Tamandua tetradactyla: one gene and its partner. The protein of the gene in region 2 binds, or shares a complex with, the protein of the main gene of each other region. Links are inferred from orthologs where the notes say so. Each region holds a gene or a part of one and is shown on either strand. Other genes may lie near its edges. The genes, in order: PPARA and PPARGC1B.

Region 1 (15,209 bases), on a different chromosome or scaffold from region 2:
AGGCTGCGTCCACTGCAGGCGGGGTGGGAAGAAGCATGCGGGAGGTTTCCACGGCTGGCTCAAGTGGCTCTCCTTCACATTGCTTCTCAGTAGCGGTAAGTCACCCTTCTTGTGCAAGGTGCTGGGAGAAGCTGGCTTCCTGTTCCTGAACCAGGTATATAGAAACGGATTTATTTACAGCCACTTCCCCTGGCTGTTGAAGAGGCTGTTCTTTCCCCATTGAATGGCCTTGGTTCTCTTGTCAAAAATCAATTAGCCATAGATGTGGGGGGTTATCTCTGGGCTCTCAATTCTAGTCCATTGGTCCAGTTGTTTAGCTGAGGCTGGATCCACACTGTTTTGATTCTTATGGCTATGTACTAAATTTTGAAATCAGGAAATGTGAGTTCTTCAACTTTGCTCTTTTTTCAACATTCTTCTTGCTATTTAGAGCCCCTTGCAATGCCATATGAATTTGAAGATTGACTTTTCCATTTCTGAAAAAACAGGCAATGGGGTGCGTTTTTTTTTTTTTTTTTTGTCTTTCTTTCTTTGTTTTGTTTTTTTTTTCCTGCAAGGGGTGTTTTTTAGTTTTTACTCAAGTTTCTCTCTTTAGATTCGTGCAAGACCACCTTCCACTTTGGCCACCTTCATAGCAATGTTGCAGTGCTCCTTGTGGAACCACTCCCCAGGACACCATCCCTGCTCCATCCTCCAGCTCTGTGCAGGTGAAACAAGTCCCTTGAGTCTGAGCCTACTACTGCTGAAGCACCTTCCTTGGCTCCCCACTGTCTGAAGGATAGTGTCTCTGCTCCTTAGTCTGCCTTCCCAGGCCCTCCCTGTGCTACTTCCAGTCTCCTCTGCAGCTCCATCCCTGGCCTCCCGGGGCCCTCTCCTGCTCCAAGGTTTGGGAGAATGGGGCTGTCGCCCTTTTGCAGCAGGAGAGCTAACTGAGGTCAGTTTCAGTTAGTTCTGGTAAGTTACTCAATTTTTCCTGTGAGTCTATCAGGTGCTGTGGCCATAGCCTTGGGAAGAAAGAGTCCCTGCGCTGGATGGAGACCCTCCTGTCTGATGAGAGAGGCAGGAAACCATCAGATCCCACTAGAAAAATATGATAAGAGCAGAGACTGAGATTTGCCTGGGATTTTAGAGGGCAGTGAGGGCAGGCATCTCACCTAGCTGGGGTGGGGCAGCCACAGGCTGTTCAGGGGAGGCTTCCAGGAGGAGGGCCTCTGAGCTGAGATCAGTTAACAGACAAGGGGGGCATCTGCCCAGCCCACAGTGCACCCCAAGGTCCAGGTGAGTCAAGGAACCAAGGGGTGCTGGGAAAATACCTGGCAACTCCCTAAGAGCCCAGAGGCCGCCTTGCTCCCCCAGATGACATCAGCATTGGGGTCAGTGGGCCGTGAAATGGGGTTACCTTAGAAAATGTCAGCTCAGTCCTTGGCACCTACTAGTGTTAGTGCTTTGTTTTGTTAATTGAACTCAGGACTGATACTTACCGAGATGGTTTGAGTGAATCTAATGCTGATTCCTGGAGAAGTGAAGTGGTGGGTGTACAGCCCCTCGTCGGCCTTCCCAACCAGCCATTCAGGAGCCCTGCCCGCCAGGGTGCCAGTCCCATGTCCTTCACCAACACTAGGCCACAGCCACCATTTTAAGAACTGGATGGCCTTCGCGTACCATGTGGAATTCAGCTTTGGCTTGCTTTTTCCTCTGCATACCTCGAGGCTCCTGGGCAGAGACAAAGCTCTTCCCTAGGCTGGGCTGGGCCCGAGGAGGGCACCGATGGTGTATGTGCCAGGACACATGTGGGTAAATCCCTGCAGCTCCCGAGGCAGCCGCCCACATCCCACAGCCTCACTTGGTGGAAGATCAAAATCAGGGGCTCATGTGTCATTTTAAATTCCACTCTGCAAGTCTCAACACTGGCTGATGTGTTGACTTGAAAATAAATAGCACAAATAAAACTGGAGTTGAGAGCTGAGCTAAGGCATGAAAAGGTTGGAGACTGAGCTCAGGAGAGTTTCACGAAGACTTTGTGACATGCTGTGCGCTCTTGAGTACCAAGGGCTCCTCTGGGGCAAGCGTTCCTGAACTTGGGGCTTTTGCAAACCAGTGAAGTCTTAACAGCTCTGGGGGCTGCCAACTCCTATCGCCTACTCTTGGCGCTTCACATAAGACATTTTTATTAAGAAAAGGTATTTTCAGCAACAACAACAAAAGAATGCAAAGGACATAATCTCAGGGCAAGAAAAAGGTATTTCTTAAAATTGATGAGACAATGCTTTATAGGAAATGCCCCACAATGTCCTTGATTTTTTTCTCATTTTGCTGCAGACCAGGAAAGCTTTGCCGGCGATGGCTTGTCCCTTTACATCCTGTACCTTCTCTTAGCAAAACCTAAGGCCTGTGATGCTGACCTCCTCTCCATTCATTCGGCTGCATTTGTGGAGCCTTGCATGTTCCAGAGGCAGAGCTCGGCACCTGGGATGAGAGCCACAGAAGGTGCCCTGTTCTCATGGAGCTCGCAGCAGAGGCTGGGGCCGAGGGCCCTGTAGGCCGGGCCAGTCTCACGTTCATCCCCCCAAGCCTGGCTGGGAGGATTTTCTGTAAGAGGCAGATGACAAGGCAGGAAATGAGAGAGCTGCACTTGGCCAGGTGTCCTAGGTGTGAGGGCCCAGTCAGTGGTGGCTGCTCTGAGCGGTGGAAATAGGCCTTGTAAAGACTCTCGCTCCAGATAAAAGCAGGAGTTGGTAGCAACACAGAGAAGAGGGTGGTTTTTTGCTGGTGGGGTGTGTCCCAGAGAGGCTTCCTGGAGGAGGTGCCCTCCTGGAGGAGGCAGAGCCCTCAGTCTGGAATATGACACACCTGTAGTACTGAACAGCTGTCTCCAGATGGCTCAGGATTAAAACATGGCTTTTCTAGGGAACATAATTCTTTCAAACCCACACAAGTGGGGAGCAGTGTTACGAACTCAGTTTGGGTCAGATGGTTGCAAACTCCATTTCCACACAGAACAGTATCCTTTGTCCCCCCTCTTCCCCTTTCTGGCTCTCCAGCAGGACTCCCATGGCAAGAACAGGTCCCACAGGTCCTGAAGCTCCAAGCACCTGCTCTGAACTGGGTAAAAGACACCCATGATTCCAAAGGGTGGCAGCCAGCTGGAGATGGAAATGCACGTGCTGACAAGACAGGGTCCACCAGAGTGGACACAGGTGGGGGGGCAGCGTCATGCAGGTGGGCTGCCTTTAGCTTTTCAATGACGTCAGACATGGGCACCCAACCTCTGTCCACTCTAAACGGGGACAGGTGAATGATATAACAAAGGGGTTGAGTCCTTATGACATCAGTAGTCGCTGAGCCTGTAGAAGGTTCCAGATCCTGCAAACCAGCTGCCCAGAATGAGCATGTGGCTTTACCCAACATGTTAAGAAGGGTTAACATCTATCACTGTTTTTACTTGTTTGTAATCTGGTGTTTAAAATCCTCTAAGGGCTTCCCATCACCCTTAGAACAAAACCTCAACTCCTCACCAGGCCACAAGGCCCTGCCTGGCCAGGTCCCAGCCCAGCTCTGGTCCCCTTGGAGCATGTGCATTCCCTCATCCCTTGAATGAGCAGACTTCAGTGCAGGCTGCTGCAGGCCGATTAGAGCAGGGGGGACAGGACTGGCCTTGAGCAATCCCCCTCCCATGCAGGAGCCAGATAAGGCCCAGGGACACAGTTATGGGGTGCACCTCTGGCTCTCAGGCCGGCTGAGGTGTCAGGCTGGAGAGCACTAGCCTCTGGCTGTGGTCCAGGCAGTGGGGTCCTGCATGTACCCCAAGGGTGGCATACGGTACGATGGGTTTGGCCTCTGAGCGCCATGCCTCCAGCTCCTTCCTGGTGCCCCGGGTCAGGTGCTACTGCTCCTGTGACATGGAGGCCAGCTGCTGGCCTGTGGGGCTGTTGAGAGTGCTGAGGACAAGACTTCGCCACCTGGACCCACGAGGGTTTTGCCATCGTTACCAGGAGGATGGGCAAGCACATGTTTCTGGTGGTCCCTGCCAGGGTCGAGCCAGGGCCCACTGGGTCCACAGACTCTCCCTCACTCAGCCCGCTGTCCCTGCCTGGTGGACTTCTGCTACCTGCCCTGAGAGCACGTGCCCAAGGGGTCAGAGGCCTCTGCCCTGGCTGATGACACCCGGAAGCACAAACACCAACTCATCAGGAGGGCTTTGTAGATCAGCAAAGGGCAACCAATGACCCACGGAGGCCTTGGATGGTTCCCGGTAAAGGGCTTACCTAAGCTACAGGCAAACAAACTGACTCCAGGCCACATGGCCCAGGCCACTGCCCAGACCCACGGCAGGGCAGGGTCACACCTTCTCTCTGAATTAGAGGGTGACATCCTTGCTGCCTGGTACCAAGGGGCAGACCCCTGCTCCAGGTCTCTGGATGCCCACAGCTTCCCGATTCTCTCCCAGAAGCCAGGGCATGGGAGTCTCACTGCCTGGTGGGGTTGGGGGTCCCGGCAAGGCTCAGCAGAGCAGGGGTGGGCTCTGGAGTTGCGCAGACCCACCTTCTGACCTGGGCCCTGCAATTCCGCCTATGGGACTTGGTGCACCTAGGACCTCTCTGTGCCTCAGTTTCCATAGCAGTGTGGGAACAATAACTGACTTCTCGGGAACATCTTCCCGATTATACAACTTGTGAAAAGGGACCTGAAAAGCACTGGCACCAAATAATGTAAGCCATACCCTAAGGGGACCAAGACATGAGTGCCCAAGACCCCAAGTGCCTACTAGGACCCTGTCTTTCCAAAGCGGAAACTCGGGTATGCACAGGGACTGTTCCCATTGATTTGACTCCAGAGTTACAGGTTTCTGCTCAGGCCCTGCACAGGAGGCTGTCTCTTTCCACTTGTGTCCCCCCACCCCACCCCAGTGCTGAAGGAGGGAGGGGGGATGGAGAGACTTCCTGGAGCTTGGGGGGAGGGAGCATTCCCCAGGACGGTTCCCCCCATGCTGGCCCGATGGTTCATTTTATGTGTCCACCTGGCAACGGGGACCACTTGCTTGGTCTAACACAGGGCTAGGTGCTACTGCGAAGGGGCTTTGGGGATGGGGTCGGCAACTACAATCAGTTGACTTCAGGTAAAGAAGACATCCCTCGATAATGTGGGGGACCCCACTGAATTAGCTGAAGGCCTTGGAAACAAGAGCCAAGGTTTCCCAGAGAAGAAGGAATCCTGCCTCGAGATGGGACCTTCACCTTTGACTCCAGTCTGCCCGCCCTACAGATTTACATCGAGATGCAAAGTCTGCTCGTAGAGGAATTTCCAGCCTGCTGACTTGTCCTGTAGATTTTGGACTTGCCAGCTCCCGTGATCACCAATTCTTAAAAAATCAATCTTTCTATTTCTCTCACGCACACACACATGCACACATGCACACACACACATACACACATGCATGCATCCTATTTGTCTGGGAAACCTTGGTCAATACACCAGCTATGTGACAAGGTCTTCATGGCAAACAGAGGCTGTTTTCGTCTTTCTTGCTGAGAGGGATTTCCCCAAAGAAACCCACCTTCCTCCAGAAAGACAGAGGTAGAACCATCTCTGGCCAGGATCACACTGGTAGAAAAGTTCTGAGCTTCTTTTTAATGACAAGGGCTTCAGAACGACCTGGGGAAGCTGACAAAGCATTTGTTCACAAGAAAAAAACAGACGTTTCTCCCCTAAACCCTGGGAGCCCCCTCAAGAACCTAAGAATATCATTCTTCTGTCTGTCAAGCACGTACGAAGGCTCTGTTGGACCCTACACAGCTTCCTTTGTCCTTGTTCGTCACAACCTTTGCCAGGTATTTCCAACCATCTTGCTGAACTGGGTGGGTTTTTTTTGGGGAACCATCATGATGCCTCTGGTAAAAGAAAGCCAGCACCCACGGTTCTGGACTCAGGGTATTTGGGAGTCTGGGATCTGGGGTATGTCAGGCAACGTCTTAGTAGTGTGGAGCCCACAAGTCTGTCTGGGCAGCCACCGTTGGTCAGCTTCCTTTTCAGCTCGAGCTGTGATGCCTAGCCCAGGACTGCCCCTGGTCAGTGCTGGTGACTAGTTGCTGAATAAAGAAAGAATGCCACTACCTGTTCAACTTATGGGACACCCATGATAGGACGTGCACTGATCACTTTGCAAACTCTGACACATAAGGCTACTGCTAGCTGCGTGGGCAATAAAAGCTGGGCTTGTTGCTCAGTGAGTGGGAAGGGTGTGTGGGTGTCTGGGGGCTGGGGCAAAGTTCACCCCGGTGCAGTGCTAACCAACCGGGGGAAATTGAAAAGAAGCCTGCGGAAAGGCCAGGTTTGGCCTGGCCTCCCCTCCCTGCCTTCCCCCCCCCCCCCCCCCCCCCCCCCCGAGCTGGTCCTCCTGGCGTTTGTTGCCACAAATAGAACAGCGGGAGGGCAGGGAGAGGGCTGGCATAGCACACATTTCGTTCCCAAAGGAGGGGCACCCTGGGACGTTGGCACCTCGTGGCCTCGTGCATTCCGTGCAGGGAGCTGGGTGTCAGGGCACAGAGCCGCCTTGAACTCTCTCGGCCCCTTCTTCTCGCCATTGGCAGCACCAGGGAAGGGGCACCCGGCTCGCAGGCCGCCAGGGAGGGAGGGATGGGGGCTGGTCGTGGCGCCCGCGCTGCCCTTCACCCTTTTTGTGCTCCCGCCCGCCGCATCCCGTGCCCTGGCAACTCCGCCACCCGGTGGCGCGGCGCTGCCCCTTCTCCGCCTTTTGCATCTTGGGGACCCGGGGACGAAGGCCTTCCTTGCCCGCCCCCGGTTCCCGAGACCCGACGGGTGAAGCCGGGCTAGCGGAGAGGAAGGCCCCACCAACGTGGCACCGGCGCCCGGCGGGGCTCCCACCCCCGGCTCCGCCGCCACAACCTCGGCCCCTCCCGGGGGCGCGGGCCCGAGCCCGCCCGCACGCCGCGGCAGCCTCTGGGCCTCTCCGGCCTCAGTTTCCCCCGAGTGGCCGCGGGGCGCAGGGTGGGAGCGGCGGGGAGCTCCCAGGGGCGTCCGCGGGCCCGCCCAGCTCCCAGCAGCCAATCGGGCGCCGCCGGCCGGGGGTGTGTCCCGCCCGGGGGCCCGGGGTGAGAGGCGGGGAGGCGGCCGCTAGAGCCCTGACGGGCGCCGCCTCCCTGGGTGCGCTGCGCAGGGCGGCCCGGCAGGCGGCGGGGAGCGACGCGGCCCCAGGTGCCCGGCGCGGGCGGGTGGGCCAGGCCTCCCCAGTCCGGGGCCCCAGGGCCGTGACCGGCCGGGGCGGGGCTGGCGGGAGCGCATGCGCGAGGGCTCGAGCGGGGGGACCCCGCGGGCGCAGGGGGCCGCCCCCTGCCTGGCCTCTCTCGGAGCGCCCCGGCCCGGCCCGCGGCCGCGGCGTCGGTGACTGTCGGTGGGGCGGGGGCGGCGTGGAGGTCGCTCCCGGCGGGGAAGGCCCACGAGGTGGGACTTGAGCTTCTGCAAGTCGAGCCCTGCGCTCGGCGCGGGCAAGTTGGGGCGTCACGGACTTGGGGGGCGTTTCCAGAGACCCCGAGGGATCTCCGAGGCGGGGTGACCGCGAGGACCTGGCGGAGCGACGCACGGGGCAGGTGCGCCCCGCAGCTGCGGCCCGACGGTGGCGCGGCCGCCGAGCCCCCTCTGAGGCGCCGTGTCCTGCCGCGGACCGGGCGCGTTCTGGGGGTGCCGGGTGCCATCCGGCCGGGTCGGGGTGCGCCCAGGCGCCCAGGTGTTCTCGATCCCCCGCACTTGGCCCGTGAGGCGCCGAGGAAGCGGAGGGGCGCGTGGTGGCTCTGGAGGAAGTTGACAGCGGGCCTTGCGCCCACGCCCACCCACGTCTAACCCTGAGAGCTGCGCTCCCCGTTCAAGGGGGGCGGGGGTAGTGCCCCAAATGGCACTCTTTCTAAAAGAGGTACAAGGGTGAGATGGGAACATTGGGACAGCACGTCCCCACCCCACCGCACCCGCCCCCTCCCAGGCTGCCCGGGAAATGGGGCGCGGGGGAGCTGGGCGGGTAGGTGGGGCAAAGGGCTCTCCCGGCACTGACCCCGTGCAACCGTTGTCGTTGTGAGAAGCAGGGTCAGGGTGACTTTCCTCTTCCAAGGTGGTGGCGAGCTGACGAGGGTGTCCAGGGAACGGTCGTGATCGTTTCCTCCTTTCCTTTCCTGCTGCCAAGGCTGAGGCGAAAGGCCCTGCAGTCCGGGTGACCAGAAGATCGGAGCCAAGCAGGTTTCCTCACAGGTAAAGAGAAGATTTGATTCACACGTGTTTCCAGGCCCCAGTCTTGAAGGATTTACTGCTGTTGCCCAAGGGACCAGCGTTTTTGCTGTTAGTTGTGACACTGATGCAATGTTGAGGGCATTTTCAGTACTTTTAAACTCAGATCCATTTGGAGCTATTCATTTTGTAAGTTCTGAGTTATTACGTGAGTTTCACCAAGGTCTTCATATCTTCGTGGCAGACCAGGCGCATGTAATTTAAATTTAGACAGTACAACTTTGAGAAAAGTTATTCCTTAATAGGCACTGACCACCGAGGAGCAGTATGCTGTCTTAGCTGTTTTAATTTAATTTGAATACCAAGCAAATGGCTTATGGAGATAGTGGATCAGTTCTAGAATTTCCATCAGCCAGTGCAGGGATAGCTAAAGAAGTCGGCCAAATGGTACAGATTTGTGAGGTCACATTCAGGAAAGGCCAGACCACTTCACCTTCTCCAGGAGACAGGGGGCCTGGCAAGATTCTATACAACTTGGAAACAAAAATAAAATCACGGATGGTAGGCAAAAATTAAGTTGTTTCTGTCTCTCTCTTTTCTCGCATCTTAAATGTATAATGGGGGAAATTCCAAAGTCATAAAATAATTATTTTTACCAGCTCATGTTTGCAAAACTTGTAAACAGATTTTAAACTCCCCAGTCCTCTTCTCCCTTTTCCTCTCCCAGGTTTTGTTTTCTGTGTGTGAATGAATATATTCCTAAGACTGAATAGGTTGGCCTGACTTCTCAGTGGCTGGTGTTTTCATTTTACTGTCTGCACTCCTCTGGTTGCAGCAGCCTGAGGATGTGTCCTGTGTACTTTGCTTTGTTGGACTTTGAGGGGCTCTGTTTGTACTTCTGGTTTTGGTGATGTGGTGTACAGTCGGTTTTGTAAACATTCCCGAGGCATTTCAGAGAGAGGCAGACTTTCTGTTTGTAGGAAAGAGATTGGATATTTCTACTGCCCCAGCCTCATTAGTTACATAAAAGAATCGATGTAATCAGGGAGAATTAGTGAAGACATTTAGTTTACAGCATGTTGTTGCAGGTAGTTTTAAGTCAAGAAGCAAACGGGGAAAAATCCTAAGTGTCCGAGTGAGCCGTATTTAAAAGAACATGTTTCTTCTTCTGGATACATCTGGTGCTTGAGCTTCTTGTGGAAAGGGGTACTAGGTGGGTGCACTGTCCACCTGTCCTCCAGGTAACAGATATCAGGTAGCCGAGCCTCATGTGCTCATTACCTGGAGGTGTGTTCATTCCTTATCTTCTGGAGTATTTAATTACGTAGTGTATTGAGGAAGTGGTGTCTTGGAAGACCGTATGTGCTTCAAAGAGTAAAGAACTTACACCTTACTAAGTCCACCCTATTATAATTATTTTTGTGGTTAAAAGTTGCATTTAAGGCCAGAGTGGAGTAAAAGAAAAAATATTTGGAAATTTTGGTTTGCGTGAGGGAAGCAGCTTGCTATAGTGGAAAAGGTGGTGATCATTCACCGGATTTGGATTCTAGTCTTTAGCTGCCACCTCCCAGGCCTTGGGACCTTTGTCCACCTCCCCAAACTGCCATGTTCTCACCAGAAAATGGAACTCCTCTCTGAGTGATTTTGAGTGAGGCTCAAATGTGGTGGCTTATCTGCGCGCCTCCCGGGAGAGGTCTGAAAGAGGGAGAAGGCCCACTGCGGGCTACCTGCCTCTCTCGCTTAGCCTATCTGATACCTGAGTTGTTTTTGCTCTGACCATTTTCTGATTTTTCAAAGGCTTTTGGAAAGAAACACCTACCCCACCTCCAAACATAACAATTTGTTTTTTTCATTTTTAAGTAGATATACAAGAATCGTACATCAGTCAGAACCAACATGCTTGGTGTCTGTTTTTGTTGAACGTAGAGGTGACTTCAGGTTTTGGTAGCACTACGTCTTTACGTTCGTCCATGCTCAGATCTATCTCAATTATACAAAGCATCATCCTCGTCCTTGGGCAATCTGCAGAAATGCGGCCGTGGTGTACTCTTGCTGGACTCTCTGCGTTTGAACCTGCTCTCTCATCTGCCCTGGGACAGGACTCTCTTGAGCTGTTTGGGTGCTGCCTTGCTTGCCATTGGCTGTTTGTCTAATTGTTCCCACTAAGTCTGACAATCTGTGGGCAAAGATTAGTTCATACTCATTTCTGCCCTGCTGGTGCTTTATGCCTAGTTCCAGTCAATGTTCATTGAATAAGTAAATGATTAATATAATTTAGTTCGACCAGTATTTATTTGTGGGTCTCTGTGTCTTCTGCAGTGCTCTAAAATGGGTAAGGACTCACTGTCCCCTACAGAAGGACAGGCCATGGACCATGGCTGCAGGATTCCCCTGGACATTTTTACAGCTGCCCTCTTACCTGGGATGGCAGAGCCCATCCTTCTGCTAGTTCCAGACAGGGTGCCCCACACCATGCTGGGTTTACATATGTAGTTCCCAACCCAAAGGTGGTATAAAGGTGGCGGTTGCAGTTGAAATGGTTCTGTTAGTAATTTGTCGCAAGGTTTGGGGTATGTGATGCGTTAAATTGGCTTTTTAGGAGATGGCCTAAGAATCTAACAAATTAAAATGCTGTTTCTTTCTGTGAGAGCATGAATTCAAATCCCAAACCACTGACTTAGATGGGAAGGGATGCATTTGAAACACTGTGAGTTGGGGAATGTGTGTATTTAACTGGTCACTTACTTGTGCTCCCGTAGTGGAGATAAGATATGCACAGGAGAAATTAGAGGAAACACTGATAAGATGTCTTCCATGCTACAGGATGCAGAATTCATGTGATTCTTCTATTTTGTTCTGCTTGAAGGGGTTTGCAAATAAAAGATGTGACCATTTCTATTAAGAATTGCATGTGTTACAGTTTTATCTTGGAGATCACAAGTAAACCATTGAAAGGGTATTATTTTGAATAGTGAGGATTAGGGAAGCAAATATGGAATGACTGTCTCAAAGTTAATGAAGTGTTATACAAGTGACCCGGAATGATAACATAGCCGAGTAAACGATATAGTTCCTTTTTTTTTTTTTTCCCATTTTTAAGAGTCCATGTAGCCCCATTTGTAACGGAATTAGTCTGTGGTTATGTGTTCACCACACTGAGATGACAAATCAGCAAGATACAGTGAAAACAACCCACTTATTTAAAGAGCAGCAAATAGATATGTCTCTTTCAGAAACATCTTAAGAAGTTAGTGGTCTGCCTTTGGTGAGTGTTTAAATGCATATTTACAACTAAAGAGCATGGCTTGTAAAATATAATATTGCAGAATTGAATGACAATCAAGTCTTGATCATCTGAAATCAAGTTTTCTTCTGTTTCCTATGTATTGAATGGAATGGTTTTCACCGAACATTCATTAGAGGCATTTTCAGGCGGCTTCCCTTATCGAACAAGTTGGCATTTCCTAGGCCAGCAGCATAAGGAAAATAGTATCCCTGTCTAGGTAGGATTTGGGGTAAATATGATAAAATTCTAAACTACAGACTCATTTTAGCTGCTTTTGTGAGACAGCTGATAACTGGGTTCGTTTCTTATTTATTCACTGTCCCACTTTTTCCGTTTCTGTTTTCCTCTCTGTGCATTGGGGACGGGATGACGTGAATGCCATTTAGAAGAAAAATCATCCCGCGGAACTTGCAGTTTGGTTGAGGTGGACCTGTCTTGGTATGTGAAGTGGACCTGTCTTGGATATGGTATCCAGCAGGGCAGTATTGGAGGTGTTTTGGTGCCCTGGGATTTCAAGATCCCTGAAGGGATTGTTTTCCTTAGTATTATGACTGTTGCCCCCCTACCCCCCCCCCCCCGGCTTTTGCAAAACATTACAGAATCTGTCACCAGCTCTAGGCCAGGGAACTTTGACCCCTGCAGGTCTCCTGATGATTCACGAACAAGCAGTCAAAAGTGCAGGAAAGTTCAGAAGACAACCTTTGTTCTTTTCTTTCCTTAGAAAAACTCCCCCCCTTTTTATTCCAGAGCACTTTCCAGAAAGAAAGACATTCTATGGCTATAGTTTTCAAATCTTAAAAAGAAACCTAACCCTTTACAGTGAATGAAGAGTCCTGAGAAAGGCAGGTCGGTACAAAAAAAAAAAAGTTCAGTTGTGCAAAAATACTGATGGTGAGAGATTCAGTAAGGGTCATGGAGCAGGGACAGGTTATGGGGTATTGAAATGCATTTGAAGCTGATGTTCCTTGAGAGAAAAAGGCTAGTGCCAACACGGCAGAGAGAACGTGTGTGACAAGTGATGACAAAAGAACATGGGGGTGGAGATGTTGATGCCTGAGTGTTTGTTCAAATAGGAGATGGATTCTACTTACCCAGGGAAGAGGGTATGGCAATGGTTCTAGTCCTGCAAAGGAGGCAGGGGGCAAAGGGCACAGGTTCTAAAAGAAGTGGAGTTGGAGAACTCATCACAAATGGTAAACCAAGGACTGCTGTCCCTCTGCTAGGACAGCCTGGAAACCAAAGCTTGTAACTGCCAGCGAAATGATAGGAAACGAGGTTAAGTGCGATGGTGTGTTTATCTGAAAGAAGTTCCTGGGGAGGTTGACAGGAAAGGGCTTTAAGTGGAGAGCTTTACAATAAGAGCAGTAGCGATTCTTTCAAAGTCCCAGGCTTTGTGTGTGAATCTGGGGTATAAAGAGTACTTAGCAGAATAGCAATAGAAGAAGAGAGAAATATGGTGCTTTTCTTTCACCCTGGAAACCAAAAAATTTATAGGCTTCTTTTCTTTCTTTCCCTGTCCCATTCTCTTTACTTAGATGAACCTAACAAAGTTAGCTTTTAGTGTCTAGGTCAGAAGTCTAAATGAAGGTGAATATTTAACCACATTCAAGGACAGCTGATAATCTGGTAATGCTAATAGAGGCACAAGACTAAAAGAAGAGAAATAAGAGTCCAGCGAGATGGGGTGGGGAGTTGTATAGCCAGGGAAGCAGATCTACCCATGGCAGAGTCTGAGGACTAAGAAACATGAAAGAGCACAGTTGCTAGGCAGTGCCCAGTTAACTTTAGCAGAATGAATGGTTTCCACGTGGACTTGCTCCTTAGAAGTCACTTTCCAGAAGCTGTTTCAGAAAGAGAAATGTCCAGTTATGCTAGCAGGCCTAGGACAGTCTCTCCCAGAGTGAAGCCTCCAAAAGATAAGAGAGCAATTGAAAATTAGAACCTACAAAAGGAATTGATTTTCAGAGATGAAAAGATGACATTGTAGCCTAACATATAATATATGCCTTCACCTGTTATTCTAAGAAAGCGACCATCAGCATCTTTATACAGGTTAAAGACAAGGAAACGTTTCCTGTGTAAAGACAGCCAGGCTCTTTCTGACTGTGCCTTCACGTCTTCCTCAGAACCCTCCAGGGCTCTCCTTTTCCCTCTGCAGGCTTTGATCCACCGTTACTGAGTCCTGCCTACCCACCCCTCCCTTGAAGCCCCCACACCTCTCCTGAGCAACCCTGACCCTCTTAGAAGCTCTCAACTCAGTGTGTCCAGTTCTGACCCCCTGGCTTCTCCTCCCACCCCCGACATTATCCTCCTGCTTGCTCACAGTCGCCCCCCTGGGACTGTGCTGTGGCAGGTGCCCCCTCCGGATTCCCTCCGCTTAAGAGGCCTTCAGGTCTTCACCACATGCCGCCTCCTTGGTCCCACCCCCAACTAGATGCAGGCTTTTTGTCCATCAGACTCCCTCTGACAGTGTAATTCTCTCTGATTTGGCATTTTCTGCCTTTACTTCAGCAGTTGTGCATTGAGTCCATCATTCATTCATTCATTCATGAACCAGGCACTGCCCTGAATGCTGGGGAACATGGTGGAAAAACAGGACAGAATTCCCTGCCATGTTAAAACTTTGCATTTTGTGAGGAGTGAGACTCCCAGGCTAAGGGGAAAGCCAGGTTCGGAAACAGACGATCACCTGCTGTGTGGAATGAGCTAGACTAGCAGGGGAGGCTGGGCGAGGCTTGGTCCCAGGGAACTGTGGCTGCCAGGGGAGCATGCGCTGGCTGTAATGGTGATTCAAACTCAGGGTTTCCTTTCACTAAAGACACTAAATTAGGAGGAGGAAAGAGTAAATGGAAAATCTCCAAGAAGTTTTAGAACCCACTTTAGTCCTTCCGATGATTATCCTGAAGATACTGAGTGCTCACGTTAACCTTTCAACCCACTTAGGTCAGCAGAATTTATATCTTAGATGATTACACGCTAATCACGTACCTAATGACCTAGAGTCGAGAGACACTGTATGTTTCATTACAGGGTCTGCCTTTCCATGGTTGCCGATAGTCCTAATATTAAAAACACATAATCCCTCCACACAGTGATTCTATCTTAATCACAGGACCATAATAATCTCTGCCTGGAGGCAGACTGGTGGCTGAGAGTAGGCTGCCTGAGCTAAGAGCGAAACACCATCCGGTTTGGTAGAAGCAAATGAGGCAGATTATTTCCTAGACAAATGCAAGTCTTTTATTAAAGCCCCTTTTCCAGGATATTGGAAAGCGGGTGACGTTAATGCCTTTGAGTACAGGCAGGTTTCTCACTTGCCCAGGGGGGTGGAGGAGGGAGCCAGCTCTGCCTGTCCCTGGGGATTGTGAGCCTGAGCTGTCGAGTGGGACATCAGGTGCTTGATGTTTTTGGAGAAGTGGCCCTGGCTCCCTTCCTTTGAGGATGGATGATGCGTTGCTTCAGCCTCCCCGCTTGCTGTTAGGTTTCCTAAAAACCCATCAGGGACCTTGATTTGAAAACCAGCCAAATAGAAACTGTAAAACTAAAAAAAATACAAAAACTGAAATGAAGCATCTGTGGATAGGTATGATGGCAGAGCAGATGCAACTGAAGGGAGAATTGGTGAGTTGTGGGATAGATTAGGGGAAAAAATACCTAAAATGAAGCACAGAGACAAAAGGAGAGAAATACGGAC
Region 2 (14,636 bases):
GAATACATTAAAATAGTGGAGGCAGCAGTGGGGAGGGGACATTCCAGCTCATTCCACAGCTTGTTAGTCCATCCCTTCTCAGGAACACATGGCCTGAAGATACAAAATGGGAAGCAATGTCTGCCCTGAAGATTCAGGCTCAAGAGTCTCACATATTCATTCACTCAGTGAGGATTTATTGGTATCTACACTGTTACAGGCACGTGTCTATTTACTGTGGAAAATGGTAAATGAAGCAGACAAAAATCCTTGCCTTCATGGAGCTTAACATTTTGGAGTGATTTTCTAAGTAATGACTTAGTGGGATCTATATTAGCAGACATACATATTATTTGGTGCTCATTATATGCCAGCCCTTATAGTAGGTAATTTAAATCTATTTTATCATTTGATTTTTACTGTCGCCTCACCACAACCTTATAAGGGAAGAACCCCTTATTATTATGTTCATTTCACACATGAAGAAAAAGGAAGCACAGAGAGGTTTGGGGTGTAAACGGCAAATTGCAGAGGCAGCATTCAAACCCAAGCAGGCTGTCCACAGGGGGTGCTCTGCCAGTCCCTGCACTATGACACATGGGGGATGGAGCAGCCGTGCCTGGAGGTGAGAGTGAAGGCATCACCAAAATGATGGCATGGGAGGTGGGTCTTGGAGGATGAATCACAGAAACGGTAAGGCTGGAGACAGAAGACAGAAACAGCACGATTCCAAGTCTCCAGGAGGAAAACTCATGGCATATTCTGGGGTGGGTCAGGATCCCAAGGGAAAAGCAGACAACTTAGGACAAAGGCAGAGGCTTAACTCTCCAACTTCAGGTGCCTTTGAACAAAAGGTTAGAGTTTGGACTTTAAAAGTACTGGCGGGGGATGGGGGGACATGTGGGCCACGGTGGCTCAGCAGGCAGGATTCTCGCCTCTCCTGCCAGAGACCCAGGTTCGATTCCCGGTGCCTATCCATGTGAAAAAAAAGAAAAAGTACTGCGGGGTGGGCCACGGTGGCTCTGCAAGTAGAGTTCTCACCTGCCATGCCCAAGATCCGGGTGCCACAGGACATGTGTGCGCAAGGGAGTGATGAAAAAAGGCATGCACTGTAGGAAGACTATCTGCCATCAGGGTCGAGAAGAAATTGGAGGGAACAGAGTCTAGTGTGGCAAAGATCCCTTTGGTACTAACTGCAGAAATCCAGTTGTGAATGGACAAGGATCTGGATCAGAAGAGGGGGAGAAGAACAGAAAGGTCAAGTCCACCAATTTTGTTCAATCCACCTGAGTCTCCATACGATGGCTGGGAGGTACATGACTACCTCGGACAAAGAGAGGTAGGAACTGAGCCTGCTCATTTCCTTCCAGATCATTTCATTGGTGATTCCCTCCCATTCACAAAACAAGAATTATGCATCCCTTTTTCTTTTTACATAAAAAAAAGTAATATGTACCAATACTAGTTTTTATTGCTCCTGCCCTTCTAAAGTGCTTCAAACAGAGAAGAATTCCATGTTTTATGAGAAGCAAGTCAATGGTCATTTTATATACATTCTATTTTTTGGTTCCCAACCTTGAGACAGGATCTGTTATTCCCATTTTATCGATGGAGAAACTGAGGACTTGAGAAGCAGAGGGACTTACGAGTTCTGTCTTCTCACTATACAATGTGCCTTAATTTACTCAAGGTGCTGGAGATACACAATGATGAACAAAAACAGAGAGTGATTCCTGTCTTAATAGAGCCTGGAGGCAAACAATATGGGACTCTCACCCACTAATCCTGGTTCTACCACTTACTCAAAGAGGGGGACTTCAGCAAGGCAGTGACTTTCCTGAAAATCCTCATCTTAAAATGGGGATAATAATAACATCGACACTTCATTGAATTTTTTTGGAATGAAACATAATAAAGCAAACAAATGGCTTAGCCAAGTGCATGCCACCCAGATGCTCAATAAATGCTGCTGCTGCTGCTGACAATGATGAAGAAGATAGCTGCTAACTCTGGGAATGCTTCTGTCATGACCTCACTTCCAAGCTCCAAGTCCCCATTTGCAAGGCCGCTTCTGACTCAAACCAGTGTTCCTTCTATTATTCCAGAGAGAGAAGGAAAAGAGTGACTCACATCCTGGCAATGGTGGAGCTTCTGGCTGGCCTGCAGCAGCTGGGAAAGGAGGCCTGGAGGTGAAGGGGAATACAAGCCCCTTGGGGCCCAGTTGCTGGGTGATTACCTTTCCTGAGTTTCATAGGCATCCATTAGCACCAGCCAGGGAGCCCCAGTGAAAGCAAAGCCCAGGGCTCCAGTGAACAGAGCCAGTAAGTCTGCCCATGCAGGCTCAAGTGATGATCCCTGGGCTCAACACAGATGAGAGATGGGCAAATGCACCTAGCAAAGGCCACATTTCAATTTGCTCCTATAGATGGTTGTAACTTGGACTTGGAAAACAAGTTGGCCCTAGCATCAAGGATTGCAGAGGCAGTGATACTACAGATCCAACAACTGAACACTGGGACTTGAAGCCATTCTCCTAATTCTCCATGTGGCAGGGACTCATCCCTTCCAGGGGCTTAAATCTAGCTTTAGAATAATGAGGAAGCTAGACACCAATCCGAAAATGGGCCAAGTTTACAAACATGGCATTTCACAGAAGAGAACCACAAATGGTCCATAATCATATGGGGAAAAGGTTCAGCATCACTAATAATCAAAGAAATGCACATTAAAACAATAGGGTGACAAAATTTATTGATGAACAGACTGATAAAAGTTTAAAACAAAAAAAATACCAAGTTATCTGGGTATGGGGAACCAGGCATTCCCATACAATGCTGATGAGTGTGTAAATTAGCAGAATCTTTCCAGAAGGCAATCCAGAAATGTGTTTACCAAATGCCTGTACAGTTCCTTTGATGGAGGAATTTCACTTCTAGGAATTTAAATGAAGGAAATAAGACATATGCACAAAGATATTCATTTCAGCATTGCTTACAATAGCAAAAAAAAGAAAAAACTGGAAACAACTTAAATGATTAACAGTAACAGACTGAAATAAATACATTTTGGTTCAAGCCTCAATGAAATACTATGTAACCATTAAGATATTAAAGGATAATATTTATTGATATGGAAAGATGTACATAACATATTGTTTGGAGGAGAAAAAAGCAAGTTACAAAACAATGAGATTTCAAGTTACAAATTAGTACACACAGAATGATTCCATTTTTGAAAGAAAGAAGCTGTAATCTGTATGAACCAATGGGAAAGAAAAAAGCCTGGTAATACATATGAAAATTAACAGTGGTAACTTTGAGGTAATATAACATTTTTAATTTTCTTCTTTACGCTTGCCAGTATTTTCTAACATTTCTATAATTAAACTTTTTAAAATACGAGGTTGGACAGATGATTTATATAAAGTTCCTGCCGACTCTGACATTTTGGGCATCTATGATTGATGCCCCAAATGACTTCAAATAACCCATATTTGGTGTGGGCTGATGGCATTGCCTTTGGAGCTTAAGTCTTTGCCCACAGCTGTGGCCCTTTGCATTCCTCTCTCTCCACACTCACTGCCCAGCTGTCTCCCCTGCCAGCCTGGGAACTGCTGCTGGGCACAGCCCAGCTGAACCCCTATCTGTAATCCAGATGCTGAGCGAAGGAACAAGGCTCAGCATGGTGACAGGTGCCATGTGGGCACCAAGAAATAAAGCACAACTAGCTCTAGAATTTCACTGGGACACAAGATTCACATAGAAAGGTCTTGATTATAACACAGGCTGAGAAGGAGAGGAAAGAGAAAGCAGGACAACTGGTCTGGAGGGCCTACTAGAGGAGAAGGCCATGCAGGATGGGTGGGTGAGGGCACTCCGGGCAAGAGGCACAGCCTGAGCAAAAGTGAAGCAAACCCAAAGTCCTTTGGGATTCATGCTCCAAACCTCTCCAAGAAACTTTCATAATCTTGTTCTGGTGAATTTCTGTACTTTGGCCTGAATGGATAAAAATGTAGTCTCCTCAACAGAAAGCTACCTCCTGACCCCAGATTAGCCAACAGTGGCAACAAAAAAGCCTTTTGGACAAAATCACTTTCCCCCCATCCCTCTCAAAGGGGCTAGCCAGAAAGACTGGAGGTGGAGGGGAGGGAGGGTCAGGGAGAGGCCACAAGAGGAAAGGAGCTTGCACAAACAGCCAGACATCTCACATGCAAACAATGCTCACCCCACCACCATGCCATTGGATTCTCCTGCTGGCACCACCAGCCCCATTTGACAGATGAAGGAAATGAGGCACAGAGAGTTAAAATGGCTTGCCCTGGGGTCACCCAGCCAGAGAGTGGGGAAGGCGACTCCACTCAGGCCTTCTGACTCCAAGTCCAGTGCTATTTCAAGGTAACACACAGGACCTGGAGTCAGGAGCCCTGGGTGGCTCTGTCACCCGCTGGCTGCATGGTCCTGTACAAGTCGTTCACCCCTGGCTGCCTCTTTCCCCAACTGTAAAATGAGGAGGCACGCGATGGCCCGCCCAGGTCTCCTTCCGGCTGGATTCTACGAGCCTTCTAAGGGCGACTGCTAAGCACGCCCTATCAATTACATTTCCCAAGTTGGGCCGGGAAAGATCATCAGAAAAGCCTCGGTCCGTCACGTGGTTAAATAAAAAAAAGCAAACGTCTCAGATCAACTTTCACTGCACTGCTTCTGCTGACACCTGATTACCCAATTTTCTTGTTTTCTTGGGTGGCATGTCCCTGCCATGTAGGCCTGCTGGAAGGCTAAGGGCAAATAATTAATTACTGGTGAGGCAAAGAGCACAGATGCAGTTAAAACCCGAGGTCAGGTCCAGCGTAGACAAGACATGCTGAGGGTCCCCAAATGAGTCTCCGGGCTATTTATAGGCTTCCCTCACCCGCCTCTTAGCGGAGAGGTATGGAAACGCCCCCAGACAAGTGCGAGAGCTGGGGACGATTCTTTTCCAGGGTCAACTCTGCCCTGCTCGCACCCGGTCCCCCTAGCCCAAGGCTGTCGACTCCGGGATGCTGGAGCTGAGACCCGCCTTCCGCGCAGACACCGGCGCCGGGCGTGTGACGGCGCCTGGTGACGGCGGCGGGAGCTCCACCGCAGTTTCGTCAGAGGTAAAGGTACGAGCCCGGCGCGCGCTGCGTTGCGCGCACACACACACACACACACACACACACACACACACACACACCCGCGCACACAGACCACTCATCACACTTCCCCCGGCCTCGCGAAGCACAGTCACACTCCGCCAGCCCTTTCGGCCCTTGCCCAGAACCCACCCGAACGGCACCCGCCACCAACCACGCGGCCCCGCGGCTCCCCGACGCAGCGGCGTCTGCAGCGGACGAGGGCTGGCCTTCCCCGGCGCGTGGCGGGCTTCCTCTCCGTGACACTCCGCGGTGCCGCGCCGTCCCAGCCGCCGGCTCGGAGTCGCCACCCGGAGTCCGCCGGAGCTGAATGTCTCGGCTGCTGCGTCCCCTCCGAGTCGTGTCTCACCACAAGGAGTCAGCTTGCAAGCCTCTCCCCGCCCACCCGGTCCCATGACAGCTGCTGCCGCCCAAAGACAGGCAGATTATAACAAGAAGCAAAGTTTCCCTCTCTCCCCTCCCACCTCCCGCCCCCACCCCCACCCCCACCCCCAGCCTTCCTCCTCCCTTCCCGTGTTATGCAAAACGGGCCGGCACCGACCCTTCCACTCCAGGTACCAAACCAGCGTCGGCGAGCCGCGCCCGGTTCCGCCCGGTGGCCCCTCTCCCAGCTAGGCGTGCGCCTGCATCCGGGGTCTCCTCAGCCTGGCCACATCCCCAGGCTCCCGGGGACCCGCAGCAGGGCGCCCGGAGAAAAAGCCCTAACTCTGGGGCTAAACTTTACACTTGCAACAGGCATGGGTGGGGGAAATGACGGAAGGGGCAGGGGGCGCGCAAGCCTTAGGCAAGCATTTTCGGCGGCTATTTGTCCCAGCAGCACCCTCCTGTCTTCAAGCCATCAGCTCCCCCGGCCCCCACTCCTCGGGCACACCAGAGCACCCTCTCCTGTCACGCGCGTGTCGCCAGTGGGGATCCCAGGCGCAGCCAGACCCCAGGATGCCGCCTCGCCTTCCCTTTCCCCTGCAGCGCCGAATGCGCACCGGGGTGGCGAGCAGCAGGGGAACCCAGAGGCCCCCAGACAGTCTTCCCGCCCCCATCCTGCCGTACTTTTCCCCTGGGGGGCTCCACTGGGTAGCGAAACCAGGAAGGCGCTATCCCCGCCCGCATGTCCACGTGCCCCGCAGACCCTGATTCCCATAGCCGGTAACCCGCAGGAAACTCCGCGCAGTGGGCGCCGCGGGGGAAACGCGGGAGGCCGGCAGCAGCACTAGGAGGTTCCGGAGGCTGGAGGAAAACGGGGCTCCCGAGAGCGCCGGAGGCGCTGGCGCCGGGGCCACAAGTCCACGTGAAAGTACGGCAGCAAATGCCGGGCGCTAAGGGCGCGCCTCCAGCGCCCAGCGCCGGCGGGAGGGTGCCCCACACCTTGGCGCGGCTCCACTCCTCCAAAGAAACACGGTACCCCCTCAGCTCTGCCCGCAGGGTCAGACTCCAAGTGGCCAAAGCTAGACCTTCCTCAGCGGCCGTGGCGCCCCCAGAGCTCAGGCACGCGTGAGCCCCCCCATTTCCCTGCCCTAGGAACGGAGCACATAGCAGGGGGCGTAGAAGAGGGTCTCTGCAGCCTGGAACCCCCGATCCCCCCAGAGCGCCCACTACTGCCTCCCGGCCTCCTCGGCTGCGGCGGCTGCGGCGGCAGCCCGGGGTAGTTCAGTTCACCCTCGTCCGTCTCCCCGGCCCCGGCGGGTCGTACCTGCGTGTCAGCTAGATAGTTGAGGAAGAAGGAGGAGAGCTCTTCGTCCAGCAGCGCGCCGCAGTCGTTCCCCGCCATCTTCCAGCCGCGGCTGCAGCGTGCGGCGGAGTCAGAGCCGAGCCGGCCGGGGGGGAGGCGGGGGAGCGAGCAAGAGAGGGAAGAGGGAGGAGAAAGCGAGGCCGGCGGGAGGCGGAAGGCGGAGCTCAGGCCCCCGGCTGCCGCAGGGCCGCGGGCTGCGGGGGCGGGGCCGCGTGGCGCCCTCATGAGCAGGGGGTCGCGCCCCCACTCTCCTGCACAGCCTCCGCCTCGGCGGCTTGCTTCCGCAGCCCCTAGGCCAGAGGAAAGCTTCAGCAGCTCGGTGTCAGTCTCCTAGCTAGCAGCCGATGCCTGCGCAACAATGCGGGCAGTCCCCGGCTCCTACCAGAGCGAATCACGTTGCCTTAGCGCTGGGCGGGCCCTTTGAGATAACCTGCTTCTGCACAGCTGGGGAAACTGAGGCTGGGGGAGGGGGAAGAGAAAGCCCGGGGCTGAGGGCCCTGAAGGCTTGAGTTTCTCTCTCCTGGCTATATGGCCAGGGAGGGAGAGAGAGATAACCATAAGTCAAGGTGGGAAAAATCAGGGAAAGATCCTTGGTGGCATTTTTTGTCTGTAACATGAAAGATGCATCGATCCATATTCTGTTAAACCTGGTCATATGTCTCTCTCATGTCGCCCCTTCCCCCTCAAAAAGAACTTTAATGACTTCTTTTTCCATTGCCCATAATACCTTAAAATGGCCCTCTCGCTGCAGTCCTTTCCAGCGACTCCCTGTACCTTCTCACGACAGGCCTGTGCACACAGAGAGCTGCCCCCTTCCCTCAGTGGATTCACGGGCTCCCTTGGCACCTCAGATCTTTCTTTTAAAACGCTCGTCGCATTGGCAATTGTGCGTTTGTTTCTATGGTGATTGGATCCGTGTTCCCCCGCCATACTAGATTGTAAGAACCATGAAAGCAGGGCCTGAATCTGCTTTTGCACTTGTTATGGTTCCACTGCCTGGTGCATAGTAGGCAATTAGGAATAATCTGTTAACTGAAAAATTAGGGTTCCCATCCCCACCCTGTGTACAAACATTGTACCGATAAGGAAACTAAATACAGAGTCAAGGAGACTGCCAAGTGAGTGCCTGAATCATAAGAACTCAGGTCTCCCAAATCCTTGAACTCTCGTCAACGTGCCCAGCAATTCGGCAGGCAAGAGATGAGGGCACCCCCGGATAAGACTGGAAGGCAAGAATGTTTGGGTCTATTTTACTGAATGGCAAGAAGATTATGGGAAGATGACATAGTAAGAAGCTCCAGGAATCAGTTCCTCCACCAAAACAACTACTCAACTGGCAGAAACTGTCTGAATCAACTACTTTGAAACCCCAGAGTCTGGGGAAGCATTGTGCCTCCTCCAACAACAAGCTGGAGAGGATGCTGGTAAATTGCTGTATATGCCAGTGAGTTTAACCCTCCTTGCATCAACTACCATCCCCCTATCCCAGCCTCCTAGCATGCAGCAGTGGTAACTGGTGCTTGGGCCAGTGGTACAGCTTGTTGGCTCCAGGGTGGAACATAGTCTTCCAAATTCCTTGGGTGTGTCATCTGATCTTTGATTAGCTACTTCAAATCTCTGGGATGTGACTCTGAGAGCGGCTATTGTTCCAGCCTCCCTGAGACAAACGCAGCAGAGAAATCTTTAAAACAGTTATGTTCCTCAAAACTGCCAAACAGTTCATTGGCTGCATTAACAAGGTAGGTGCTGAATTAAGAAAATTAAAAACATAGAAGCTCCTAGTGCCCTTGGTGGCCTTCCCCAACCCCCTCCATAAGGCATGTGTCTTCAATGTGGGTCCCTGTCTCTGTTCCAGAGGGAGCAGAGTGGCCCCTGTGAACATACTGGGGTGCATATATGTCAGTGTCAGCCTACCAGGTGGAACCCTGAGAGACTAAACTGGGGAGTATGTATCAGCTCACCATCCCAGATACAGAAAGCCACATTCAGAAAGCTAAGAAAGTGTGAAAAACAACAGGTAAATTGGCATGGCCTGGGGCAAAGGACTACCTGTATCAAGTCACTCAAGAAAGCACCCCGGAAGGGGAGGAGGCCAGTTTCAAAAGGAGTAGAGGGACATTCACTTGAACTCCTGGAAACTATAGACAGGGAATTCCTAAATCCTCTCACAAGTATAAACCCAGAAAAAGAAGCAGGCTCCCTGGCTCCGGTTCCACTCAGGCTCAGATAAGACAGAAAGGACCTGCATTTCCCATTCGCCTCAGGCTAATCTTCTTAATAGGAGCAAGAATTTCTGAAGAAAACTACCAGCCTAACCAGAGACAGTTTGAAAAGGCCTTGAAAGGTGTTTTCTAACGTGATTTGTTTGTTTCTTGAATTTTGCATTCAAGAAAATCTCTGTCATTTCACTCGCTGGATACAAACTTAAGGAACAGACTGCTCGGGGACTAAATCCTAGTTAACATTTTAAATATCAAAATGTACAATGTGGGGTGGTGCAATGGTGGCTTAATGGCAAGAATTCTCGCCTGTCAAGCTGGAGACTCTGGTTTGATTCCCAGAGTCTGCCATGCCAAAAAAAAACCTAAAAGAAAAGGTGTACAATGTAACAAAAGATTACAAGACTGAAAATACTGACCAATCCAAAGGAACAAGATAAAAATCTAGAAACCATCAATCATGAAGACAGAACTTTACATTGACCAGACAGAGATGTAAAAATAATTACCTTAAATATGCTCAAGAAGAGAAAGGAAAACAGGGAGAAAGAACTAAAGGATGTGAGGAAAATCATGAATGAACAATTTGGGACTCTCCCCAGAGAAATAATGGAATTGAAGAACACAGTAACTGAAATGAAAAATTCCGTAGAGGGTTTTAACAGCAGATTGGGGGTGGCAGAATAAAGCATCGGTGATTTTGAATTCAAGACACTAAATGATTCAGGCTGACAAGCATAAAGAAAAAAGGATAAAAATGAACAGAACCTAAGAGAACTGTGGGGCACCATCAAGCATACTAATACACACATTTGAGAGTTCCAGATGGACAAGAAAGAAAACTATGGTCAACCAGTAATTTTATATCCAAAAAGACTTTTTTTCAAAACTGAGGGAGAGATTAAGACATTCCCAGATAAACAAAAGCTGAGGGAGTTCATTTCTACTAGATCTGCCCTACAAGCAATTCTAAAGGGAAATGTTCAGACTGAAAGAGAAGTACAGTAGACAGAAAGAATAAAGGCCTGGTAAAGTAACCATATGGGTAATTATGAATGCCAACAATATTGTGTTGTGTTGTGCATTATGTAACTCCACTTTTTTCCCATATTAAAATGCAAGTGCATAAAAAGTATTGATAAATCAATGGTTTTGGACATATGATATACAAAGATATAATTTATAACAAGTAAAAAAACCAGAGGGGTAGATGAATAGTGTAGATGTATGCTATTGAAGATAAATTGGTATCAAATCAAATATGATTATTATATAATTAGGAGGTTGTTTTCATTTCCATTGCTGCAAAAGCAAATATCATGCAAAGGGAGGAGGAAACAATGGGAATTTATTGGTTCACAGTTTTGAGGCCAGAAAATGTCCATGTAAAAGTATGGACACTAAAACTATGGTGTTCTGGGGACTGACTGCTGGTGATCCTTGATCCTGAGCCACATGACAACGCACATGTTGGTCTCTGCTGTCCTCTTATTTCTCTCCAGTTTCCATTGAATTCCAGCTTCTTACTTCCCATGGCTTTATCTGTCTGAATCTCATTCTGTTTATAAAAGACTCCAGTAATGTGATTAAGACCTATCCTGATTGAGGTAGGCCACATGTTTAAGAAGTAACCTCATCAAAATGTCCTACCTACAATGGACTCACACACATAGGAATGGATTAAGTTTAAGGACATATTTTCTGGAGTACCTACGGCTCCATACCTATTAAAATGTAACAAATGTTAAATTTTAGCCCCATTGTAACCACAAAGAAAACACATGAAAAATATATTCAAAAAAGAAGTGAGAAAGAACTCAAAATGGTGCAATACAAAAATATATAGAGAGAGAAGTAGGCATTAATAGAAGAATTGAGAATCAGAAAAGATATAAGACTTATAAAGGCAAACTAGCAATGTGACTAAAAAAAAAAGTACTGCATTATCAGGAGTTCTTTAAATATAAATGAGCTGAACTCTCCAATCAAAAAGGAGAGATTGATAGAATGGATTTAAAAAAAAAACAGTATGACCCAACTATATACTGTGTACAAAAAGACTCACCCTAAATTCAAAGACATAAGTAGGTTGAAATGAAAAAAATGAGAAATAATATGTCATGCAGGTAGTAACCAAAGGAGAGCTGGATAACAAAACTAAAATCAGATAGAATACACTTTAAGTCAAAAACTGTTACAACTGGCAAAGGTGGGTCATTATATACTGATAAAGGGGTCAATTTAACAAGAAGTCATAAAAATTATAAATATGAATGCACTCAACAACAGAGCCCAAATATATGGAGCAAATATTGACAGATTTGATAGGAGAAATGGACAGTTCTACATTAGTGCTGGGAGATTTCAATAATGGATAGAACATCTAGACAGAAGATCAGTAAAAAAAAAAAAAAAAAAAAAAAAACAGAAGAATTGAATGATACTCTAAATCAGCTAGACCAAGCAGACATATATGGAACACTTTACCCAATAGCAGCAGAATACATGTTCTTCTCTAATGCACATGGATCATTCTCCAGGATGGGCCATATGTTGTCACAAAACAAGTTTCAATCAATTCAAAATATTAAAATCATACCATGTATCTCTAAATGTATCTCTAATCATACCATGATCTCTAATCACAATGGAAAGAAACTAGAAATCAATAACAGAGAGAGAAATGGGAAATTCACAAATAAGTGAAAATTAAGCAACATACTCTTTAACAACCAATGGATCAAAGGAAAAATCACAAGGGAAATTAGGAAATATCTTTAGGCAAATGAAAATGAAAACACATTGTACCAAAACCCATGGGATGCAGCAAAGCACTGCTGAGTCAGAAACTTACAATTCTAAGTGCTTACTTTAAAAAGAAGAAATATCTCAAATCAGAGACTTTGCCTCAAAACTAGAGGATGCAGAAAAAGAAGAACAAACAATCCAAAACAAGGAGAAGGAAGGAAATAATAAGGATTAGAGCAGAGCTAAAATGAAATAGATATTTTTTTTAAAAAATAGAGTATCATCAAAACCAAATGTTGGTTCTTTGAAAAGATCAATATAATCAACAAACTTTAGCTAAACTAACAAAGAAAAAAAAGGACAAAAATGACTAAAATCAGTAAGGAATGGAAGAACATTATTGCCAATGCCAAAGAACTGAAAAAGACTATAAAAGGATAATATGAACTACTGTATGCCATCAATTGGAAAACCTAAATGAAATGGACAAATTCCTAGAAACACACAAACTATCTACACTGATTGAAGAAGAAACAAAAGATCTCAACAAATCAATAACTGATTTGAATCAGTCATCAAAAACCTCACAACAAAAATGTACAGAACCAGATGGATTCACAGGTGAACTTTACCAAATCTTCCAAGTAGAATTAACACTATCCTGCTCAAATTCCTTGAAAACAATTGAATAGGAGGGAACGCTTCCTAATTCATTCTATGAGAGCAATATCACCCTCACGTGAAAGCCAGATAAAGATAAACAAGAGAAAAAAAAAACTACAGACCAACATCCCTTATAATATAAATGTAAAAATCCTCAGCGAAATACTAGCAAACCAAATCCAATAATATATCTAAAGAATTATACATCATGATCAAGAGATATTTATCCCATTTATACAAGGGTGGTTCAACATAAGAAAACCAGTATATATTTAATACACTACATTAACAGAATAAAGGGGGGAAAACAACACGTGATGATCTCAATTTAATGCAGAATAAGCAGTTGACAAAATCCAGCTCTCCTTATTGATAAAAACACTTTAAAAACTAGCAATAGAAAGAAACTTCCTCAACATGATAAAGGACATATGTACTGGTTTGAAACTGTTATGTATCCCAGAAAAACCATGTTCTTTGAATCTTAATCCAGTTGTCCTGGGGTAGCATGTTCTTTTAATCCTGAACCAATATTGTAGAATGAGACCTCTTGATTAGGTTGTTATCATGGAGATATGATACACCCAATTGTGGGTGTGACCTTTTGATTAGATGGCGTTTGGTTTGCTAACGCTGCCAGTAGTGGAATGGCTTTTTAAACAGATTTTATTATGTTATAAGTTTACAGTTCTAAGGCCAGAAAAATTTTGAAACTAAGGTATCCAGAGAAAGGTACCTTGACTCAAGAAAGGCTGATGCCAAAGGGAACACCTCTCTCATCTGGGAAGGCACATGGCAACATCTGCTAATTTCAGGCTTCTGAATCAAAGAACTTCCCCAGGGTTGATTTCCTTCTGCATCTCCAAAGCTCTCATGTCTAAGTCAGCACTAAAGCTTTTTTCAAAATGGTTCCCCTTTAAAGGACTCGAGTAAGCAACCCCACCTTGAATGGGTGAAAACATATCTCCATGGAGACAACTTAATCACAAAGATCCCACCCAGCAATATTGAATCAGGATTAAATAACATGGCTTTTCTGGGATACGCAACAGTTTTAAACCAGCACAGATGGAGATGTGACTCCACCTATTCAAGGTGGGTCTTGTTTAGTTTACTGTAGTCCTTCAAAATCTGACAGACACAGACTTTTAGAGATGCCTGGAGTTCTGACGGAGATACTTAGAGAAGCCGTATGAAACTAGGACACAGACTCTTGAAGAGAAAAAATCTCTGGCTCTGGGAGATGCTAAGCTGAGAGATGAAACCCAGAGTTTTGCTCCAGAACAGCCAAATGAGGTCCACAAATGCTTAAAGAAGAAGCCACTGGAATCAGAAGCTGGAAGCAAAAGAACCAGAAGCAATGACTTCAGACACCAGCCATGTGCCTTCCCAAGTGACAGCCATTGACCTTTCTTCAGAGTCAAGGTGTCTTTTTGTGGCTGTTTTAGTTTGGACATTTTTATGGACTTAGAATTGTAAACTTATAACATAATAAATCCCCTTTATAAAAGCCAACCCTTTTCTGATATAATGTATTCTGATAGTGTTAGTAAACTGAAATAGCTTACATGGAAAATCTACAACAAATCATACCCAATGTTGAAAGATTGGAAGCTTCCCCTCTAAGATCAGGAATAAGAAAAGGATGACCACTGTTATTCAACATTGTACTGGAAGTTCTAGCTAGAGTAATTAAGCAAGAGCAAAAAAAAAAAAAGCATCCAAATTGGAAAGGAAGAAGTGAAACTTTCCTTATTTGCAGATGACATGAGCTTATATACAGAAAATCCTGAAAAATCCACAACAAAGCTGCTGGACTTAATAAACAAATTCAGCAAAGTGTCAGGGTACAAGATCAACATCCCAAAATCAGTAGTGTTTCTATTCACTAGTAATGAATAATCAAAAGAAATCAAGTAGAAAAAATCCACTTATGATAGCAACTAAAAGAATAAAATTTCTAGGAGTAAAATCAACCAAAGATCCAAAGAACTTGTTATCTGAAAATAAGACTTTGCAGAAAGAAATTGAAGAAGACTTAAGTAAATGGAAGGACTTACCATGTTCATGGAATACAAGATAAAATCTTTTTAATATTTCAGTTCTACCCAAAATGATTTATAGATTCAAC

What was found.
Region 1: the proteins of PPARGC1B (region 2) and PPARA are in contact, whole or in part, in a crystal structure (PDB 3SP6), measured with the Homo sapiens proteins. The link is inferred for Tamandua tetradactyla from reciprocal best matches to the Homo sapiens genes PPARGC1B and PPARA. Residues at the interface, in NP_573570.3 of Homo sapiens: Ser154, Leu155, Leu156, Gln157, Leu159, Leu160, Leu161, Thr163; in NP_001001928.1 of Homo sapiens: Val284, Thr285, Thr288, Glu289, Lys292, Phe297, Leu302, Asn303, Gln305, Val306, Leu309, Pro458, Leu459, Glu462, Ile463.

The regions. Positions count from the first base shown.
Region 1 is NC_135333.1:40,683,184-40,698,392, forward strand, and holds the start of PPARA (peroxisome proliferator-activated receptor alpha), read left to right. Parts: upstream 1-7,169; 5' UTR 7,170-7,212; intron 7,213-7,358; exon of another isoform or gene 7,359-7,458; intron 7,459-7,483; exon of another isoform or gene 7,484-7,604; intron 7,605-7,723; exon of another isoform or gene 7,724-7,924; intron 7,925-7,974; exon of another isoform or gene 7,975-8,116; 5' UTR 8,117-8,253; intron 8,254-15,209. UniProt on the Homo sapiens protein: Ligand-activated transcription factor. Key regulator of lipid metabolism. Activated by the endogenous ligand 1-palmitoyl-2-oleoyl-sn-glycerol-3-phosphocholine (16:0/18:1-GPC). Activated by oleylethanolamide, a naturally occurring lipid that regulates satiety.
Region 2 is NC_135346.1:30,477,390-30,492,025, reverse strand, and holds the start of PPARGC1B (peroxisome proliferator-activated receptor gamma coactivator 1-beta), read right to left. Parts: upstream 6,956-14,636; 5' UTR 6,915-6,955; coding exon 6,837-6,914; intron 1-6,836. UniProt on the Homo sapiens protein: Plays a role of stimulator of transcription factors and nuclear receptors activities. Activates transcriptional activity of estrogen receptor alpha, nuclear respiratory factor 1 (NRF1) and glucocorticoid receptor in the presence of glucocorticoids.